2 linked regions of the Elephas maximus indicus genome follow. Each later gene encodes a partner of the first gene's protein in a complex. Links are inferred from orthologs where the notes say so. Each region holds a gene or a part of one and is shown on either strand. Other genes may lie near its edges.

The links.
Region 2: MED13 (region 1) and MED19 share a complex: the UniProt entries of both Homo sapiens proteins name them as parts of the mediator complex. The link is inferred for Elephas maximus indicus from reciprocal best matches to the Homo sapiens genes MED13 and MED19.

The regions. Positions count from the first base shown.
Region 1 is NC_064837.1:34,008,258-34,016,120, reverse strand, and holds the start of MED13 (mediator of RNA polymerase II transcription subunit 13), read left to right. Parts: upstream 1-4,331; 5' UTR 4,332-4,445; coding exon 4,446-4,511; intron 4,512-6,374; coding exon 6,375-6,609; intron 6,610-7,863. UniProt on the Homo sapiens protein: Component of the Mediator complex, a coactivator involved in the regulated transcription of nearly all RNA polymerase II-dependent genes.
Region 2 is NC_064825.1:119,108,901-119,116,590, forward strand, and holds the start of MED19 (mediator of RNA polymerase II transcription subunit 19), read right to left. Parts: upstream 3,195-7,690; 5' UTR 3,147-3,194; coding exon 2,879-3,146; intron 1-2,878. Other genes in the region: TMX2 (thioredoxin-related transmembrane protein 2), read left to right, coding at 3,539-3,727. UniProt on the Homo sapiens protein: Component of the Mediator complex, a coactivator involved in the regulated transcription of nearly all RNA polymerase II-dependent genes.

The sequences.
Region 1 (7,863 bases):
AATGGAGCTCATTCATAATCCAAGGACAGCCTGTACGCTGTCACCCTTCTTGCAAGCCAAGTGATAGCAAGCCTGTGCCTCCACTGTCTCTTTCAGAATGAAGCCCCCAAAAGGCTGAAGGTCTTAAAAAACTCTTAAATGTAGATCATATCTCAAAAAATAGAAGATAATAGGTGCCCCAAATTGAAGTCTAAAATTCACCTTAAAAATTCCTGATTGGCTTTCCAATCCTACTTGGATTATCTTTTTAATCTTCACAACAACTCTAACATGTAGGTGCTATTATTACACCCATTTATTACCAATGGGTTGATTGATGTTATACAACTTGCAGGCATGGCCTGGAGTTTTGACCCCTGGTGATCCAACTGTCCAAATGTCCAATCTAGCAAGATTATGAGTTCCTTGTATACCCTGCGCCTTGCCCATACATGACCTGACACATACTAGATGGTCAATAAATGTGTATACTAAACTGTATATATAGTATGACCTTATGTAGGAAAAATATGTATGGAGTAAAATCTGGGAGGGTATACATGAAACTCTTAAAGGGTAGTTAATTGTGAATTGTGATATTATGGGCAATTTTTTGCAACATACATTTTTAATTTTCATCTTTACACCTTTCTGTATCTTCCAAACTTTTGACAATGTGCATGTATTGTTTTCATTTATTTCTATTACTGTTTATACTACACAAAATGTCATGTTAACAGAATGTAGGTGGTTATATCTGAATTGGGTTTAATAAGATTTAGTTGCTTCAAAGGGCTTTATAAGAATTCATTTTATCCTTCAAATCTGATTTCAAATGCTTCCTACTTCATGATGCCTTCTCTGACTTTGGTGCTCCTTCTCCGAAGCTTCTATTATGCCAAAGTTGATACATACTGTACGCCGTCTGTGTACCAATGTTGCTGTCTGCCCCTCCTCCCCTGATGTTCCCAGTCCCCTCACAGATGGGGTCCCCTCGCCTCCAATTTTCTTCTCCATTCTCATTCTCTATTTCTCCTCTCTTTCTCTTCTGTTTCTTTCCATGATCTTCCTCAGATTTTTCCTTTGAGTCTTCTTCCCTTCTTGTCTCCTATCTCTCCCTTCTTTTTGAGAAGACTGACTTTCAAATGAAACGTCAATCAAATGTTACTTTCCATCAGGGAGTTTTCAGGCTGATTCTACTGGAGTCCTGAGGAAGATGCTCAGAGTTGGGAGTGGACACAATGATGAGGGAGACTTCTAAGGAGGATGGATACTTTTGGTTGAAATAAGGGATTGAGGACTACATTTCAGAATGACAAAAGCAATGGGAACAAAGGTTCGAGGATTCCCTCAGGGAAAAGGGTAGAAGAGAGCTGAGCAGAGGGCCCCTTACCTGATTGGGCCTGAGGGTTGTTATCTCCTAGTGTTGGCACTCAGTTAGAAAGAATGCTGACCTCAGTTGATTTGAGCTCCTGGATTGAATTAGTCCTGCTTGTGTAATTGACTTTGATATGTGGCCTTTGGATCTGAATTGGGTTTAATAAGATTTAGTTGCTTCAAAGGGCTTTATAAGAATTCATTTTATCCTTCAAATCTGATTTCAAATGCTTCCTACTTCATGATGCCTTCTCTGACTTTGGTGCTCCTTCTCCAAAGCTTCTATTATGCCAAAGTTGATACATACTTCATTCAAGCAATTATCTTCATCGTATTTTATCGTAGTCTGTGGGAAATTGTTCCTTTATTTTCTCACCTTAGGAATCTTGAAGGACAGGAAGGTATTTCACTCATATTTGTATCTGAGGCCTAGCACACACCAGGAACATACTCACTTGAGCCAGCAGTACTCAATAACAATTTAAAAAATATATTAACAGCTAAAATTTAGTAAGCACTAGGATACGCACTATACCTACATTGTTTCATTCACCAGACACTTTAGGCAGAAAGTACTTTTATTTTGCAATGAGAAAACTGAGCATAAGAGAATTTTTTTTTTTTTAGTTTTTATTGGGCTTTAAGTGGGAGCTAACAAATCAAGTCAGTCTCTTACACAAAAACTTATATACACCTTGCTACATACTCCCAAATGCTCTCCCACTAATGAGACAGCCCGTTCCCTCCCTCCACTCTCTCTTTTCATGTCCATTTCACCACCTTCTAACCCTTCTACCCTCTCATCTCCCCTCCAGGCAGGAGATGCCAACATAGTCTCAAGTGTCCACCTGATCCAAGAAGCTCACTCCTCGCCAGTATCCCTCTCCATCCCATTGTCAGAGAAATTTTTTTGATCTAAGGTTGAATTCAACCCAAGGTCAACTAGTAAGTGGCTGAATTCTTTTCTATATGCTTTTTCTGGATCCAAGATCTGGGCTCTTAACCACTATGGATGGACACATGGATGGATGAAGGAATGCTTTTTACTCTGTGGCTGAAGAAGAGACATGGTAGAGCTCATCATTTATTTTATAGAGACAATTATGATTAGTTCTAACTTTTACTTTTTCTAACTTCTGAATCATCTCTTTTTTTCTTCTTCCTTCCTTCCTTTCTTGTAATTCTGTATCTAAAACTCTCAGGAAAAATGTTTTGAGCACTTACGTTGGAGCGTAATCCAGACAAGAACCAAGTGTTCTGTGGGGAAGGGAACTAACATTGTATTTGGTTTCTACCTCTTGCTATTCATTCATTTCTAAATTTATAAATATCAAGCAGCTACTGGGCGCTTATGGTAAGACCATGTGTGCACAGAAGAACTACTCCATAGGATTTGGAAGCAGATCGCCAGGCCTGTCTTCCGGGGCACCTCTGGGTGGGTTTCAATCACCAGCCTTTCAGCTAGACTGTATAACCACTTGTGCCCAGGTGTCACCATGAGTCGGAATCATCTTGATGCAACTAACAACTGGGTGCTAGAAACCTTTTAGGCAGTAGGGGTATAATGGTGAACAAAACAAAGTCCTGGCTCTCAGGGAGATTACACTCTTAAGTGGACACTTCACATATACTAGTTCACTTGCTCCTCACAATGACTGCATAAGGTAATGATGACAACAATAGTGGGTAACTCTTAACAATGTTTATCTGTACCAGGCACTACCTACATGCTTTATATGTATAATCACAAAACCCTGTGAGCCAGGGGTGGTGTTTTCTCCATTTCAGAAATGAGGGAATTGAAGCACTAGGAGGTTAAGTGACTTGTTGAAGTTTTGAACCAGGGTGTGTGACTCTAATTCCCAGGCTACTAACCACAATATGTTTCGTTTATGTTTTCTATCTTCATATCACACAACTTTCACGTGGCTAAATTGTATCTCCATCCAGATCTGTGTGACTCCGAAGCCCACGGGTTTCCGCTGCATCCCAGAGGCCTCGTGGAATAAATGAGAAAGAATGCCTTGGAATTTTTGCAACACTTTCTCTTCCAAAGAATTCAAACTGATTTCCACATAATTCTCATAGATTTGTGCTGTGAACCTCCTTGTACTGTAAATTCCCGCACAAGGAGAAAGATAAACCCGAGTCCCGGGTCATTTGACACTAGCCGGAGCACCCAGCAGATGGCGCTATCTTAGTAGCCACCAGCTGGCTGCCCCATCCCCGGGGCTCCCCACCTCCGCGGAAAGCTTCCCAGCCCTCCCTCACTCCCTTCTCTCTCCCCCTCCCCACGGAGCCCGCGTCCACGTGACCTTAAGACGGCCAATAGGCGAGCAGAGAGGGCGAGCTGGTCCCTGTGGCCGCCATTAAAGCGAAGGGAAAACCCGTGAATTCGGATTAAAGGGGGAAAAACACCGCCCGCTGGGCCCACAAAATGGGGGAGGCTACTGCGTCCAGGCTGTGAGGCCGCAGGAGAGCAGACGTTAGGTCGGCCCGGCCCAGGGACGACACGAAGACAGCCGGAGAATGGTCTGAGCCCCAGACGCCGCCACCACCTCCGCCACTGAGGAGACTCTGGGCTTAAGGACATCGCCGCTGCCGGGCCGGGGGCCTGGGCTTCCCTCCCGGTTCTCGCCCTTCCAGCTCCTCTGCGGCCGCCTCCCCGCCCGAGGGAATCGTCTGGGGCTTGGGCTCGACCGTCTCGGACTCGATTTCAATTATTTATTGTGTAATTTATTATTTTTCTGGTGGAAGGGGCATACATCTCCTCTGTCCCCCAGAGAGGGGCAAGCGCCTGCGGGCTCCGCGGCAGCCGCAGACCGGCCCGCGGAGCGAGCGCTGCGCGGCCCTCCCGCCTCCGGTCCTCGGCCCCGGGCGGCTGGGTGCCGGCCGGGCGGCGGGGGCTGCTCGCGGCGGCGGGGGGGTGGGTGGGGAGGGCGGGCGGCCCGGCGGCCTCCTCTTCCATCGCCCCCCCCAGCCGCCACCCCCCCCGCCCTGCCCGGTGTCTGTGTTTCTCTCTCTGGTCGGAGGCGGCGGTAATGGCGGATGGTGGGTTGTGGCGCCGGCGGCGGCTGCTGTGAGGGACGATGAGTTCCTCCTTCGTGCCGAACGGGGCCAGCCTGGAAGATTGTCACTGTAACCTTTTCTGCCTGGTGAGTGCCCGGGCCGCGGGCGGGGACGGCGGCGAGTGGGGCGCTGAGGGAGGGGCCGCGAGGTGCGCCCTTGGGCCGTGGGGGAGGGGGTCCGGGTCTGATCCCGGCGCCCGAGTCCCAGGCCAGGCCCAGTGGAGCCGGCGCGGCCGCGAGGCCCCGCACCCAGCCCCGGGAGACGGCGTCCGCTCGGTCGCCGTCCTGAGCTCTCGGGAGTGGGGAGTTTGTTTCTTGTCTTGTTTCTGACTCCCCCCCCCCCCCCCGCATCGTAGTCTTCTCTTCAACTTGGGCACCTCATCTGCCGGGACACTGACTTAATTAACATTTCCGTCTGCATTTTTTGCCTAACTATTGCTTTTCTCTTTTTTGATCCTGTATCCCTCTTCACACTTTCTATTATTGCCTGTTCTCCCACTGTCTTTATACTTCGCTCTGGTAATTTGGTTTCTCCTAATAAACAGGACCCCAGAGTTTATGCACTGACTCCCCCCCCCCCCCATTTTACATTTTTTCTACGCGTCAGACTAACAGTTTGACTTCTGGGTGACTTCACATCTTTGTGTAAAAACCAGTAGATGCCATTTCATATGTTTTCTTCCTAAACTTTGAAAAGTTTGCCATTTTGACAATTTCTAGCCATCTTGCTATTATTAGAACATTATGCTTGTGTGAGAGTGGAGGGGGCTAATGGAGGAGGTGCTATGGTTTTGCTCTGTTTCTATATTGGTCTGTTTTGCTTGCCTTTTCAGAATGCTTTGAGCAGGCTGCTCCATGTTTTATTGAAATGGAAAGTCTGGGGAAGCTATACGGAGAAATGACAATCGTGTTGATTGGTCCAGGCCTGGGAACTTAGAACATATAAGACTTCCCAAAGTACCAACTGTTGCAAATACGTAGTTCAGAAATGGGCAATAGCTTAATTTGGTGACAAAGTTTGGGTGACTTTTTTCATTTTCCTCTGTGCTATGGGAAATATTAAGAGTATATGATAGGTAAATGAGTTGAGTGGGCGGAGCACAACTAATTGGCAAGTGCAAACTGCCAGTCATGTATCAGCAGTTTCATTTTTGGCACCTTATGCTTTGCCCCTTTAAGTGAGGTTGAAGAATTAATGGATTCCCTCTGTCGAATCTCTTTCACAGTGCTATTGAGATCTGTAATGCCTTCCCCCCTGTAAATTATGTTGGTTTTCTTGTATAATGTCCATTAATCAGCATCTTTGCATGTAAAAAGACATACACCAGGTTTTGAATTTCTGTGCTCTCCAACTCAGTCTATTTTTGGTACTTTTAGGATCAAGTTCTTTGAAGATAGTCTAGCACAAATCTGAGATTTCTTTGTGGGCAGCTATGTGATTTTTCCTAAAGTGGATGTGGCAAGAATTAACTAGAATTTTTACAGGAAGTATTCAGATATCTTTTTATTAGAGCTATGACTTCTACAAACATGGAATGATAAATTTTTAAAAATTAATTTTTAGTTAAAAGTTTGACACCAGGGGACAAACAGGACCACTTAGAGTAGAATTTAGGACAGAGAAAAAAATGTTTACTCAGTCAGTGTGCAGTGTTAAAGTACATGTTTATATTTAACATTCTTTTATTTCTATTTGGGGCACATTATATTTATTGACTTGCTAATTTGTGACATGTCAGTGTTAATATTTTAACTGTTTTTGTTCTTTTTAAATTCTTGGTTATTATCAGATGTATAAAGCTTTTTTACTTTTTTTTGGTTTTAAGCCACTTTGAATATTTTAAGCATATATTGAAAAATTGCAGTGTCTTAATGAAAAAGGGACTTTTATGGTGAATAGTTTTAACTTTGAATGCACAGTAATAAAAAGTCATGCTTTCTTTTCTTCAGGCTGACTTGACCGGAATTAAATGGAAAAGATACGTATGGCAAGGCCCAACTTCTGCCCCTATTCTGTTTCCGGTAACTGAGGAAGACCCCATTTTGAGCAGTTTTAGTCGATGCCTTAAGGCAGATGTACTTGGTGTTTGGCGGCGAGATCAAAGACCTGGAAGAAGAGAATTATGGATATTTTGGTGGGGTGAAGACCCTAACTTTGCTGACCTTATTCACCATGACTTATCAGGTGAAAGCAGCTTATCACTTTCAACTAATTATGTAGTAAGATTGTATACTTTCCCCAAAATAACATTTGTATTACAAATTAGGATTTTTTTTTTTTGATGGAACATTGTTAGATATGAAGCCAGATAAAAATTAAGCCCTGTGTTTTATTACACCATGGTTATTTAAAATATGCTATCCATGTGTGTTATGGCAGGTTTTTTCCTTCTACCCACGTTGCTCTGAATTTCTCACAGGCAGTTAGGCTTCAGGAAAACATGCTATATTAACTTAAGAAAAATGGAATTTGGGGGCATGAAGTTCTCAACAAAGTCATATAATACCTTTGAAGCCAAGTGTACCACACCTGGGAGTCAATTCTGCCACTGCTCTGTACTGCATGAATAGCCAGACAATTATAGGAATATCTAGAAGTGGTGTGTTGTGAATTTTTCTTGTTTTTGACAGCATATAGTTATTTTGTTATTGTTTTATTAACACATGAAGGCATATGTTAATTTTTTTTATTCTTGGAGAGTGATTATTTTATCCGAGGTACTGTTCCATCAAAAACTATCGTTAATATAACGAGACAGGTACATCTTGTTTAGCTTTTACAGGATGTGGTGTCATAATCTGAAAGGTTATGCAGAAGTAATTTTATTGTGAGCAAATCAATATGATTACTTCCACCTTATTCTCATAACCTTTAGGACCAAACGTTACTTTAGAAAGAGGCTATAGACCTTCATGTAATTTCTGAAACTTGTGTTTACTTTAGACTGTAAGAGTCAATGTTAACTGATTCTTTGGTGATAAGAATGTAAACGAGTAGTTGTGTGCTCCAAGATACTAAAGATTTGGTAATGATTTTTGACAGGTAAATTTAGAATTTCTAGGGAATTAAAAAAAAAAAAAAGGCAGTTTCTGAATTTTCTCTTACTGTCTGTTTGACACATAGGACCTATTTTCTTTTTAAATGAAACGTAATCCAGGTGTCTTTGTATCAAACAGTTATTTAGCAAGATCAGCCTTTGTGCAGGAATGTATGTGTTGTGGCTATTTGTTTTGATGCTTGCTTTTTACCTTGTAATGAACACACCGTTAAGTATTAATCCTAATTTCTTGAGAATGGTTGCAATTCTGTTACGATAAAGCTTTCCGGCTTTCCTTATAAGCTGCTTGCTGGAGAGTCCAGCCCTTAGTTCTAGGTGTATTATATAGTTCTAAATATATAAGATGAGCGTGTGAGAGATTTAAGTATGTGTGTCAGAAT
Region 2 (7,690 bases), on another chromosome or scaffold:
CCCGGTAGGCCTGAACCGCCAACCATGAGGTTAGCAGCCGATCACAAACTAGGTGGTCAATAAGGTATTTCTGTCTCTGTAGCTCCAGACCTTACCTCATTCTTTCCCTTTTCTTCACAGCCAAGCTTCTCAGAAGAGTGGTCTACTGTGAAGGGAGGAGACTCAGTACCACAGAACCTCTTCTCATAGTCTCTGGGCGCTGTATCCTGCCATTACAGTACCCTCATTTTTCCCCTCTCTGCCAGTTCTCCTCTTTCCACATGGTTATATTTAATAATGAAGACCAAAGATGACAGCCTTCAGTATAGATTACACTTCAACATAAAGAAAACAAATATCCCCACAACTGGACCAATAAGCAACATCATGATAAATGCAGAAACTAATGACATTTTTGAGCATTTCATTTTACGTGGTTTCACAAGCAAAGCCCATGGAAGCAGCAGTCAAGAAATCAAATGACATACTATACTGGGCAAGTTTGCAAAAGACCTCTTCCAAGTGTTAAAAAGCAAAGACGTCACGCTAAAAAGCTAAGGTGCACCTCACCCAAACCATGGTGTTTTCAATTACCACATATGCATACGAAAGCTGGACAATGAATAAGGAGGACCAAAGAAGAATTGATGCCTTTGAATTATAGTGTTGGCAAAGAAAACTGAATATACCATGGACGGCCAGAAGAATGAACAAATCTCTCCTGGAAGAAGTACAGCCAGAACGCTCCGTAGAAGCAGGGATGTCGAGACTTAATCTCATGTACTTTGGACATGTTATCAGGAGGGACCAGTCCCTGGAGAAGGACATCATGCTTGGTAAAGTAGGAGGCCAGTGAAAGAGAGGAAGACCCTCAATGAGATGGACTGACACAGTGGCTGCAACAACGGGCTCAAACATAGCAATGACTGTGAGAGGATGGTGCAGGACCCGGCAGTGTTTTGTTCTGTTGTACACAGGGTCGCTATCAATGTGAACTGACTCGATGGTATCTAATGCTTACTGCTCAGGTGAGAAGGCACTTTCTTTTTTTTTTTTTTATTAACTTTTATTAAGCTTCAAGTGAACGTTTACAAATCCAATCAGTCTGTCACATATAAGTTTACATACATCTTACTCTGTACTCCCACTTGCTCTCCCCCTAATGAGTCAGCCCTTTCAGTCTCTCCTTTCGTGACAATTTTGCCAGCTTCCCTCTCTCTCTATCCTCCCATCCCCCCTCCAGGCAAGAGATGCCAACACAATCTCAAGTATCCACCTGATATAATTAGCTCACTCTTCATCAGCATCTCTCCCCAACCAATGACCAGTCCCTTTCACGTCTGATGAGTTGTCTTCGGAGATGGTTCCTGTCCTGTGCCAATGGAAGGTCTGGGGACCATGGCCACCGGGATTCCTCTAGTCTCAGTCAGACCATTAAGTATGGTCTTTTTATGAGAATTTGGGGTCTGCATCCCACTGATCTCCTGCTCCCTCAGGAGTTCTCTGTTGTGCTCCCTGTCAGGGCAGTCATCGATTGTGGCCGGGCACCAACGAGTTCTTCTGGTCTCAGGATGATGTAGGTCTCTGGTTCATGTGGCCCTTTCTGTCTCTTGGGCTCTTAGTTGTCGTGTGACCTTGGTGGCACTTTCTTTTTAGTACTTTCTTTAATCTGTGTGTTCACCCAACTTCTCTCTCCCCAGCCCTTACTTTTCTCCTGAAAATGAATCCTGCATTTCTAACTTCCATTTATTCAACTGCATGTGGATTCAATTCTTATTTTTAAAACTCCAAATCTTCCCAATTTCACTCATGGCTTCTCTGTTTCAATCTATGGTACTCACATTCTCCAGATACTTTTAGAAAGTAGTACTCCTCAATTTAATAATCTCAATTCCTACTATCCTTGAGGAAGGCTCAAATTCCTTTGACTAGCACTCAAGACTAAACTCATCTTACTTCAATTTATCTTTAAGGCCTTACTAATTACTATTCCTCTATGCAAAAGTTATGATCCAACTAAATGGGTCTCCAACACGTCTTTAAAAAACCATTTTTCATATTGTTTCCTTTTAGGAAAATTCTTCCCAATTTTCCAAACAAATATTAATTCTTCAAGGTCTACCTCAAGCCACATCTTATTCATGCTATCATTTTGGACAACATGGAACATATTTTGAAAACCACCATGTAGTTCTCAATATTGTTCACTAAGTTACTGTTATTTGCTGTGTGAGAGGCATGAGCACAAAGTAATGAGACTGGTCTTGACAAAAAATACAGTCACATTACTTTATCCTTAAATCACATCTTTTGGATCCCCAGCCAAAATAAGTTCTTATAAGCAAGGACCAGTTATTATTAATTTCTCTCCCCTTGCCACTACACGCCCCCCCCACTTAGCATTTGCACAGAACAGGTGTTCAATCACTTGTCCACTGATATAAAAAGGTACACTCAAAATGAGTAAGGCAAAAGAAAGGTTAAAGAAACTCCTGGTGGGCATCAACTACTAACTAGCCAAAGGGAAATTAGATTCTTTAAGCTTCAGCTTTTTCACCTAAAAGATGCAAATAACAATGCCTGCCGAAAAGGACCATTCTAAATAAACTTCCAAGTACTGCACCAAACGCAAACCCTGAACCATTTTTAGGAAGCCATAAACCATTGTCAGGGTCAGAACCCGGATACAGACTGGAGGTTGGTCGTGGAGATGCACCAGCCCACGAATTCATGCCATCCCAGGAGTTGCCGATGCTCAGAGCCCTTCCGGCTTTGAGCAACTGTGCAGTGGCACGCGTTGCCTAGGTTACCTCGCACCTCCGCCGGCCGGCTTATAGCCACGCCCATCATCCCCTCTCCATGATCTGATTGGCTAGTTTAGGCCAGGCTTACTACTCACCTGGCAGTTCCCGCATTAGGTAGAAAGGGCCACAACCAGCCGCTGACTTATCGGCGCCAGGAGGGGCTGTGGCTGCGGAAGGAGGCGGGGCCGTGCCGGGTCCTCCGCCCGGCGGAGGAGGAGGCGGAGGCGGAGGCTTTCCGGGACCGAAGCTGAGTGCGGCTGGAGGCGGTGGTGGGTCAGCCTGAGCTCCAAAGAGCGCTGTGAAATTCTCCATCGTCCCCTCTGCCCCGACGGTGCCTCGGCTTCTGGCGTTGATTACTTTCATTGGACAATCCCTTCACGGGGCAACGCCCTCCACCTCCAGGAGCAGTTTATCACTGGATGCCCTAGGCCCCGCCTACGTTCTCCCCGCAACTACTTCCGTCGCTTTATGCGAACGTCCGGGAAATGCTATGTAACCGTATTAATTCTTCTCTGATATCTCCACCCACCGCAGTCAATATCCAATAACATGACTTAAATGGAAAGAGCGGCAGGTAGATTGACCAATAAAGTGTCAAATCCCTTTTTACCTACCAGCAGATCCAATAGACATCTATTTCCGGGTCAATAGGCGGTGCATCCGAGACTTGGTCCAATGGGAACTTCAAGTGGTGTGGGGGCGGGTACCAGACCTGCATACGCCGGTGAGCAGCGGGCGCCGCAAGGGCCGAAAAGATGGCGGTCTTGGCGCCTTTAATTGCATTGGTGTATTCGGTGCCTCGACTTTCACGATGGTTGGCCCGACCTTACTATCTCCTGTCAGCCCTGCTGTCCGCCTCGTTCTTACTCGTGAGGAAACTGCCGCCGCTCTGCCACAGTCTCCCCACGCAACGCGAAGACGGCAACCCGTGTGACTTTGACTGGGTGAGCGACCCCTGCCTGGGACCCCGCGACCTTGAAGCTCCTTGCCCCAGCGGCCACATTTGGGAGTCCCAGGCTTCACCTTTTTGAGGACATCTGAGGTCCCGAACCTGTCACGGACTTATAGGCTATTAGAGCGTAGGGCCCGGACCGTCATTGAGTCTAAGATGGGAGTACAGGAAAGAATGACGTCTCGGAGTTGTACAGTCCGTTAGTTATAGAGCCTGCCCAGCAGCCCAGACTCTGGTCCAGGGTTTTTTCCGTCTCACTATTCATATTCGTTAACTGCCCTGCCAAAACTTTTACAACGTTTTACAGTTTTTAAAGCTCTTTGCTGCATGTGATGTAAAGCCTCTTATTTGGGTAGATGAGGCAAGTAATAGTATTTATTATGTTTTATTGGTGTAGAAATTGGTCTCAGCATGGTTAGGCGACTTGTCCAAGGTCATACAACTACTGAGTGGCTGGCCTTGAAACCACTCTTCTGTCCATAGTACTTGCACAGTTTCTTAACAACAACAAAAAAGCTGCCGTCAATTCCGACTCATAGTGACCCTATGGGACAGAATAACACTGCTGTCGAGTCGATTCTGACTCATAGCGACCTGATAGGACAGGGTAGAACTGCCCCATAGGATTTCCAAGGAGCAGCTGATGGGTTCAAACAGCTGACCTTTTGGGTAGCAGCTGTTACTCTTAACCACTGCGCAACTGGGGCTCTGCATATTCTGTTAGTTATTTCTGAGTTTTGTAAACAGTTCCAGAGTTCATATTGGCGTTTGGAACCCACCGAGCGCGGATCCATGGGAGAAAGACCTGGCGATTTGCTCCCGTAAAGATTACAGCCTAGAAAACCTTGTGGGGCAGTTCTGCTCTTTCACATGGTGTCACTATGAGTTGAAATTGAACTCCATGGCACCCAATAGCAACAACAACATACAATGTACCAGGCACTATTGCTGGGTCCTGAGAGTGCAAAGACAAAACTGTTAGGCTTCATGTAAAGGGAACGTGAAAAGTACGTTGGAAAGCAATATAGAAAGCCTCTTGCTGTGCTCTTGAGTAGGATGGAGGGACTGCTCAGAAAAATGAGTTAAAGCCTTATGCCCACTGCTGTATATATAGCAGGATATGTGTTCTGATGAGGGAGAGTCATCCTGAATTTTTGTCTGTTTTCCATTCCCCAAAATGAGTCTGGACCTTTACCCAGCACCCATTCCCTTACTTTTTCCCTCCGTCCTGTTTACTCTTTTATGTTTCCTTTGCCCTTTCCAAGACTGTATTACTGATTAGTTCAAATGTGCCTGTGCTATTTCAAAAGATCTTATTTTTATCTGGTACTCTATACCACTTAAACAAAAATGGGACTGAAAAGGATAAGAGAATAGTAGTGAAGATTTTAATAAACATGTTGTTAGTTGCCGTGGAGTTGATTCCAACTAATAATGAAGGACTCTATAGGACAGAGTAGAGCTGCCTCACAGGGATTCCAAGGCTGTAATCTTTACGGAATGCCATATCTTTCTCCCATGGAGGGGGCTGGTGAGTTGGAACTGCTGATCTTTCAGTTAGCAGCTGAGCACTTAACCACTGCACCACCAGTACTTTTTGAGGTACCTCTGGGTGGGTTCAAACCACCAACCATTTGGCTAGTTGTCAAGCGTTTAATCATTTGCGCCACCCAGCCACTCCTTTAATAAACATAGAGACCTTTTATACGTAGTAAGTCCCTGGGTTATATGAAAGTCAGACTTACTGACAACTCATACTTCTGGGTTGTGATGGTCAGACTTACAACTTGTGCTTGCCCTTTAATGTTGTGTAAATTTGCCCTCACTTTGAAATGATTGAGTCAGCTCTTACAACAAATTCTTCACCACAGTCACCTTTGCTTGCTCATGCAACTTTCAAATCACTGAAAAGACTTTGAGCGTTTACTTGCACTGAAAAAAAAAAAACACCCAAACTCGTTGCCGTCGAATTGATTCCGACTCAGAGTCTATAGGACAGAGTACAACTGTCCCATAGGGTTTCCAAGGAGCAGCTGGTGGATTTGAACTGCCAACCTTTTGCTTAGCAGTCGAATTCTTAAAAGAACCATATGTACCTGTTCTCACTTACCTACAAATTTGACTTAAAGACACACTTAGGATCGGATCTCATTCATAACCCTGGGACTGCCTGTCTCTCTAGAGCGTTGTCTGATAATAACAAAATACTGGAAGGTTTTATGTTCTATTATTACTCTGCCAGAATTTATTTTTTTTAGTCACTTGACTATAATAGCCCTCCTGGCACAGTGGTTAAGAGCTTGGCTGCTAACCAAAAGGTTGGCAGTTCGAACCACCAGTTGTTCCTTGAAAACCCTATGGGGCAGCTCTGCTCACTCCTGTAGGGTCACTATGAGTTGGAATCGACTGGACAGTAACAGATTTGTTTGTTTATTTTAACTATAGTTGCCAGTTTTTATTTTCTAGGATAATTCTTGTTTTACTGATTTATCTTGGTGATTGGGAAGTTAGAGTATTAGAATAATATTAGCAGCATTAACAGATAAACTTCAAAGTTCCAGTGGTTTAACAGAATAAAAGTTTATTTCTGTTAATTAAAGGGAAAGAATCAAGCATTTATTTTGCCTTTCCTGTATGTCATGTCTTTTAGGGCAACCAAAGAATCGATAAGGGAAATTTGATTTTTTAATAAAAGAATTTGAGTTAATACAGAAGGAATGATAGAATTTAAAAATCATCTTTTAGCAACCCTGAATGAAGTAATGAATCTAGGCAGTGCTCACCTGTGGATGCTGAAATCATCAGATGAAAAGTCGATGTGTCTCCTGAAGTGATGTACCACCTGTGATGTATTTTTGCCAAAAGATTTGGATTTCACTGTATTCAGACCTCGAGATCTCATTCCCACTTTATAAGAAATATGGCAGATAGGGGATCATTATCAGAACACATGCCATGAGTCCAGAAAGTGGCAAAGTTGACAGCATCAGTGACTGAATGTCATCAGCAGATACATAGCATGGGGTAAAAAGGGAAATTAAAGAGATCAAAGAAACATATCAGTTAAATGCCATGTGTGCATGTTGCTTGAATCCTAACTTGAACAAACAACTGTACAGACATTTTGAGACAATCAGGATCCTGTGAATAAGGGCCAAGTATTAGATGAAAAAAAAATTTTTTTTTTTTATTAGATGACAGCAAGAAACTATTATGTTAAGTGTGATAATATATTGTGGTTTTGTTTTTTTAAAAAAAGTCCTTATCTGTAAGAGATGCCTGTTGATGTATTTACAGGTAAGAGGACAGAGCTGGAATTTCTTTCAATTTCCCCTGCAAAAGAAATAGGTAGCATGGATGAAATAGAACCAGATTAGCAAAATGTTGATTACTGTTGAAACTGGGTGATAGGAGTTCATTGAAGTATCTGTCATTTGTGTATGCTGGAAAATTTCCGTTCCGAAAAGTTTAAATGTAAGGAACACACAACAACCAAGAGAGCTTTGCTTCACTTAGTCAGTTTGAGACCTATGCTCCTTCTGTGGAAACCCTGGTGGCATAGTGGTTAAGACTTCAGCTGCTAACCAAAAGGTCTGTGGTTTGAATCCACCAGGTGCTCCTCGTAAACTCTATGGGGCAGTTCTACTCTGTCCTATAGAGTTGTTATGAGTTAGAATTGACTCCACGGCAGTAGGTGGGTTTCTTTTTTTTTGGCTGCTTCTGTTTTCGGTCAATATAGCCTTCAGGTCATCCCGCCATCACCCAGCCAGCAGATGAAAAAGGAAAGCTGGAACGTGAGGACATGTTGTCTCTACTGCCAGGGTGTGGAAGTGACATATCACCTCTGCTCACATTCCATTCAAAAGCGCTAGTGAAGTAATCCTACCTGGATGCAAGGAGATTGGGAGATAAAGGATAGCTGTCGTATGCCCAAGAGGAAGGGAAATGGGGTTTG